Cricetulus griseus: one gene and its partner. The protein of the gene in region 2 interacts with the protein of the main gene of each other region in a biochemical or structural test. Links are inferred from orthologs where the notes say so. Each region holds a gene or a part of one and is shown on either strand. Other genes may lie near its edges.

The links.
Region 1: the proteins of Med1 (region 2) and Thra form a complex in vitro, tested with the Homo sapiens proteins (6 studies listed by BioGRID, with this or other methods). The link is inferred for Cricetulus griseus from reciprocal best matches to the Homo sapiens genes MED1 and THRA.

The regions. Positions count from the first base shown.
Region 1 is NC_048600.1:111,850,355-111,853,780, forward strand, and holds the end of Thra (thyroid hormone receptor alpha), read left to right. Parts: intron 1-2,515; coding exon 2,516-2,887; 3' UTR 2,888-2,926; downstream 2,927-3,426. Other genes in the region: Nr1d1 (nuclear receptor subfamily 1 group D member 1), read right to left, coding at 3,244-3,426.
Region 2 is NC_048600.1:111,303,112-111,306,611, forward strand, and holds part of Med1 (mediator of RNA polymerase II transcription subunit 1), read right to left. Parts: intron 1,180-3,500; coding exon 1,101-1,179; intron 40-1,100; coding exon 1-39. UniProt on the Homo sapiens protein: Component of the Mediator complex, a coactivator involved in the regulated transcription of nearly all RNA polymerase II-dependent genes.

The DNA.
Region 1 (3,426 bases), about 550 kb from region 2:
ACCCACACACAGGAAAAACTGTGGCCCAGGCTCCTTCCCTCCTCATACCCTGCAGTATTAGCTACAACCCAGATGCTGCTGCAAGGGGGTGGGGGTGGGGGTGGACATGTGTGTCTCCCAGAACCTCCGCCTCTGTGGGACTCTGTTTCCTGTCTATTTTCTGGGCTCCCTTTGCCCTCCTTAGTCCCACTTGATGCACTAACCCAGACGTAGGGCAGGTTGGCACGCAGTGGGAGTTTCTATCAGTGGCACTTAGGGGCCCAGGGGAGGAGGCATTTGGCACTCCTCCTGTTTTCTTTGAAGCTCTTTAGGCCAGCCACCCCTCTGCCCCTGGGAACCTTCTCCCCTCTTCTTTTCTAATTCAGGGACTTTGGCTTGAGCCATCTCCCACCCTCTGGTGAGGAGTGCTCTGTTGGTCTGCGCTTGGGTGAGCTGCCCTCCTCTCCTCCTTCTCCTCCCTTTGGCTACAGCCCACTCCTCTGCAGAGAGAGGGAGGGAGGAGGTGGCCCTCCCATGAGTGGGAGGGATGGGAGGAGAGGGAGAAACAGAGCAGACCAGTGGCCCTGGGCTCAGGGCTGCATGTCGGCAGGGATGGATGGGTGGACATAGATGCCCCCCGGAAGCCATGGGGAATGGGGCAGGGGGCGGGGGAGGGGTGCCAGGGCTTCCTGCGCTTTGCACTATTGGGGCAAAAATGTCTTAAGCAGTGGGGAACCTGCCACCCCACTCTGACCCTCAGCCTGCCACAGCCCCTACACACACACACACACACACACACACACACACACACACACGAGGAAGGCAGTGCTTCACTGTCCCCAGGGCAGTGTCCTCTGCCACTGTTCAGGTGTTCCAACTGGGCAGAGGGCCTGGAGGAGCATCTCCTGTCACCTGTGCATGTGCCTGCCCCACCCCTTGGGGCCCCTGGGCCACCTGTGCTATCTTTGTCTCTATCTTCTTTCTCTCTCCTGGGGTACTGATTTCCATATTCCTCCAGTCCCATGGGTAAACCCTCTCATACCTTCCTCCTATACCTTGGGGCCCAGTGGAGTTCCTGACCTGCCTGCTGTCTCCCTCCTTTCCCTGGCTCCACTCCTCCTTCTCCATTCCCGTTCTCAGCCATGGGCATGGCCTCTTACAGGCACTTGGGAATCCCCCCCTTTCCCCAAGTCATATGAGCTGTGAGCCCCTTCCCCTCAGCCCTTCCCCTTCCCCTCCCCTTCAGCCCTTCCTTCCCCTCAGTGATGTGGAGTGTATGTGTGTTCCTATGTGTGATTGTATGAGTGAGTACATGTTGTGGGGAGGAGCCAGAGAGACTCAGGAGTGCCACGCACCTGCTCTAGAGAGGCAGCTGTCCCAGTCCCTGCTGTGGAAGTGGGGGACAGGGCCCTCTCCTGGGGGCCATTGGTGCTAATGGGGGGTTGGTCTTGGCATGGGTGCTTAGCATGCCTTCCCCCAATGTTGGCCCGGGGCACTAGGGCAGGCCAGGTGGGGCAGCAGGTGCAGTATTGATGGGAGGATGGGTTGCTGGGAGAAGGATGGGGGGGGCCAGGCCAGGACAAGGGGGTGCCAGAGCCATGACCACTACCCTGCCCCTACCACTGCCTCTCCATCTCAGTATTCCCCCCTCCCATCACTTATAACACACATACCTCATCCAGCCTCCTCCCTGCTCAGACTTGGGGAGGGTGGGGGAGGAGGAGCCCCTACCCCTTCCCTGGGTGGTGGGTCTATAGGGCTGGGAGAGGGCAGGGCAGGGCGTGTGACATAGACACCGTCCATTAGGGGGAACGTACTTCCTGCCCTAGGAACTCCTGGGTGGAGGGGGACACTACCCAGAGGCGCTACTGAATGTATGAGAAGCTGGTGCTGGGGTGGGGGGGGGTTATGGCTAGAAAACAGGGAAGGAGATAGGTCCCTTCCCCAGAGAGGGGTGGGACCGGTAGGGGTGACTTGAGGGGCTCCTACTCCTGCCCCACAGTTGACAATCAGTATGTCTGTTATGTGCGATTTTTCACCCCATTGTGTTTTGGGTCAGGATTTTAAAGAAAGATATTTTTATGGTAATTGTTGCTCGTCTATTTTACTATATATTTATGTAATAAATATATGATGAAAATAACTCCCCTGGGCACCCCCCCCTTAGACTTGCGTGCTGTTCCCCCTTATTCTCCCATCTGCTGGCAGAGTACCCACCCCACAAGCTGACCAGATGGAGAGGTGCCCCCCCCAGCCTTGGCAGTAGTCCCCTCTACCCCCCCCCCAAACGAGCACACATCACAGAAGCCAACTCAGCTGTGAACTATTGGATTTGAGACAGGAACAGAACAAATCGGGGGGCTGGAGGAGGGTGGGAGAGCAAGAGTGGTTTAAATAGGGGGGGTGGGGAGCATGGTGATGGGGGTGGGGGAAGAGTTATTTACAAGAAGGCTCAGGGGGCCAGAGGCTCATCTTGGAATATTTTATAACAATATAAATAAGATTCTGGTTTGCTTTTCCTTTTCGTCTCGTAAAGGAGAGAGAAGTGCAGAGTTCGATTCTGTACAAGGGGGCAGCGGCAGAAGGCCGGCCGGGCGGGTCACTGGGCGTCCACCCGGAAGGACAGCAGCTTCTCGGAATGCATGTTGTTCAGGGTCCGCAGGTCCGGCAGCTTGAGCAGCAGCTTGGTGAAGCGGGAAGTCTCCGAGGGCCGGTTCTTCAGCACCAGAGCCCGAAGAGCCCGCAGCAGCGTCTCCTGGAGCTGCTCCACCGAAGCGGAATTCTCCATTCCCGAGCGGTCTGTGGGGAAGACGACAGCAGTGAGGCAGGCTCCCTGAGCTCCTCCTCCTCCTCTGACGAGGACCCGGAGGTCTGCGAGGACCTGGCAGGCAAGGCAGCCTCGCCCTGAGGCCCCTTGGAGGGTGATGGGGGAGGAAAAGGAGGGCGCTACTCCTCCTCCCAGGCCTCTGCCCCAGAGCAGGGCATGCCCAAATGCTGGGAGCAAGGCCACAGGCTGGCCACCTCCCACCCCTCAAGACCACCCTCCCACCCCGAGCAAGCCACATATGGCCAAGCTCCCTTGCTTTTTGCTCTGTAGTACCCCCTGCCTGGGATGCCCTTCCCCCACTATGCCTGGCAGTTATCTTGTCCCTTTGAGGCCCTACTCAAGTGTCACCTCCTTCCCCAGCTCTCCCAGGCAGAAATAGTTGTCTGTGCTTTCTTGGTTCATGCTAATACTGTGACACTTATCTCACTGTTTTATAATTAGTCGGGCATGAGTCTGTTTCCCAAGCTAGACTGTGTCTGAATCATGTCTGTACCCCAGTGCCCAGTGCAGGGCCTGGCATAGAGTAGGTACTCCATAAAAGGTATGTTAAATTGAACTGCGTGTGCCTCCTCCAGGGTCAGGCGAGAGCTTGGCCTACCTGCAGAGACAAGCACCACAGC
Region 2 (3,500 bases):
TTGATTCCAAGCGATCAGTCATTGCTGGCAAGGATGTTACTATGAAAAGATGGGGAAGAGGAGAAAAAGAACTCATAAAGAATATTCCATAAACATATCCAACAGTTCAGATGCTTATAATCTGCACCAAGCTTAGCTGTGACCTATGAATCAGGTGATACGGTGACAAGGTAATTAAGTGATCTGAGCACAGCGAGTATGACGTTTCATAGTCAATGTCAACTGGATTGGATTTAGAAGCACCAAGGAAACATACTGCTGTGTATTGCTTTTTGTTGTTGTTTTTTTTTCCAACAGAGTTTCTTTTCTTTTTCTTTCTGGTTTTTCTTTGTATAATTTGGAGCTGTCTGGAACTTACTCTGTAGACCAAGGATCTACTCAAAAGATCCGCTGACCTCTGCCTCCAGAGTGTTGGGATTAAAGGCGTGCGCCACCACTGCCCAGCATCCTCCTTTTTTATTACTTCTTATTTAGGTCAAGGTATCCATTAGAGAAACCATATGAAACTAATACAGATCCAAGCATTATACCTCTACTCCTAGCTACACTCATGAACCTAGGCTATCTACTAATGATAGGTTAAGGAAGATAAATATGAAAACCAGCATAAAGAGGGTTAAGGATGTATCTTAATGGTAGAACACACAGCATTCATGATGCCTTGGATTCCATTTCAATCAGCAAAACAGCAAAGAGATGGCTCTGTACTTGCAGACAGCTTACTTGCATACATGCACTTAGATGAATACTCTGAACTCTCTCAGTTCAACTGGTAGCTCCCCAAAACAGTAAAGAAAGTTTCTCTGTAGCTTTGAAGCCTTTCGTGGAACTTCCTCTGTAGACTTGCGCTCGCTCTCTCTCTCTCTCTCTCTCTCTCTCTCTCTCTCTCTCTCTCTCTCTCTCTCTCTCTCTCTGTCTCTTTCTCACACACACCATAAACAAATCAATAAAAATTTTCAGGAACAAGCTCACTTCTTAATTTATATTTCTATTTAGGCTTGAAAGTCAGACATCCCCCAAAATCATCCCTTCCTTAAAGCCTCCCCTCCTTAATGTGAGTTTTAATAAAACCAGCATACTTCGTTAAGGTGTGTACAAACCTTTGAGAGCCTTCTGCAATGTCTCCAAGCAGCTGACCAAATGCTGATGCCCTCCAGAACTCATTACAACCCTCTTCTCCTATATCAAATCACAAAATGATTGAAGCAAAAACATCAATGTTTCAGTTAAACACACATGTTATCATAGTAGGGAAGTTACAGACTGAAAATTGACTACAGATTCCTTTGAGACAAGGTTTCTAGCACAGGCTGGCTTTGCCTCACTATCTAGCAAAAGATGACCTTGAACTTCTGATCCTCCAGCCTCCACCCTCTGAGAACTTTTTTGGAAGGGGGGGGTGTCTTTTTTTTTTTTTTAATTTTCTTTTTTTGTTGTTGTTTGTTTTTTGAGACAGGGTTTTTCTGTGTAACCTTTCTGTAGACCACGCTGGCCTCAAACTCAGAGACCTGCCTAGATTTATTCTGGGATTTGGGACACTGCAAGTCAGGGGAATTTTCTGTGTAGCTTTAGAGCCTGTCCTAGTACTTACTCTATAGATCAGGCTGGCCTTGAACTCAGAGATCTGCCTGCCTCTGCCTCCTGAGTGCTGGGATTAAAGGCGTGCACCTCCAACGCCCTATCACATTAAGGAGTCTGAAACACTGGGAGTGCTGGGGGAGTTATTTTGTAACATTAATTTGTGTGTATGAGACAGACTTGTGTGCACACGTATGGACTTCAGAGTATACTGTCTAGGAATTAGTTCTGTACTTCCACCATGTGGGTTCTAGATCAAATTCGAGCCATCATTCTTAGCAGGAAGTCCCTTTTCTTGGTGAGCCATCCCACCAACCCAAAGTAATTTCGGGTCTGGAATGTCTCCTATAGCCGAGAATTGCCACTGGACTGAGATGAGAGGTGCACACCACAACCTGCTACCCTGTCCACCTACCCAAAGGAAGAAAAGTTCACACAGATAAAAACATCCACACTCACACGCAATAGTAAACCATGTATTCTACTATCTACTATAGGTCATACTTTGTGGGTGGGGGTATTGTTACTAATCCAAATGTCATTGGTGAGATCTACTTCCTATAAGTGACAACATCACCATGTCAGTGGTGACAAATACCTTTAATCCCAAGAAAATCTCTGTTTGTGAGTTTAAGGCCAGACAGGTCTACCTATGAGGGTTTCTAAGACTGGTAGGGCTATGAACTGAGATCCTGCATCAAAAAACAAAGCAAACACTTATCAGTGGTGGCTCACCCCTTTAATTCCAGCACTCAGGAGGCAGAGGCAGGTGGATCTCTGAGTTCAAGGCCAGTCTAGTCCACTAAATGAGCTGCAGGACAGTCAGGTCTACACAGAGAAACCCTATCTCCTTAGGAAAAAAAAAAAAAAGCATCCGGGTGGTGCATGCCTTTAATCCCAGGACTCAGGAAGCAGAGGAAGGAGGATCTTTGAGATCAGGGCCAAACGGGTCTATAAATCAAGTTCTAGGACAAGTTCTAAAGCTACACTTAGAAATTCTGTCTTGAACACCCCCCTAAAAAAGAAAACTTCCTGTGGGGCTAGGGAGATGGTTCAGTGATTAAAAGCAGCACTTCCTGTACTTGCAAAGGACCAGGGTTCACCAGTTCCTAGCTCTCACGTGATAGCTCAAAACCTGTAACTGGTGCCAGGATTCCCAACACCATCTTCTAAGCATCCACAGGGATTGCATTCACACGCTGAGTTTAGGACCACACAGGCAAACACTCAGAGTCAGAATTGAAAATAAATCTATAAGGTGTGGTGGCACACACACCTCTAATCCCAGCGTTAGGAAGGGAGAAGCCAGTGAGTCATTGTGATTTCAAGGCCTACATGGTCTGTATAGCAAGTTCCAGGCAATACAGTGATACCCTGTCAGAGAATAAAGAATAAAGGCTGGAGGGGCTGGAGAGATGGCTCAGCAAATAAGAAGTACTTGTTGCTTTTCAAGAGGACCCAGGTCTGACTCCAGCCACCCCTCAAGGCTACTCACAGCCATCTATCACAACCATCTGAAACTCCAGTTCCACAGGATCTAACAGATGTTCTTTTCTGACCTCCGGAGCCACCAGGTACTGACATGGTTCACATAAATAAAAGGACAAAACACTCAAACATATAAGTAAACCTAGAAAGTAAAAATAAACAAATCCCAATTCTTTTTTTAAAAAAAGGGGATGGGGGAAGGATGGTTCACAAATGGGTGACAAACAATTGTCACAGAGGCAGGAAGATTACAAAGTAATCAATTTAGAGTATGTATGAGACAAAGCAAATTATATAATAAGAAAAAGAAAAAGAGCATGAAATTGAAATATTTTTTTTGGATGGGGGCTGGATAGAGAGAGGGCTCCGTGGTTAAGAGCACTGTCTCTTCTTCCAGGGGTCCTGACTTCAATTCCCAGCAACCACATGGTGGC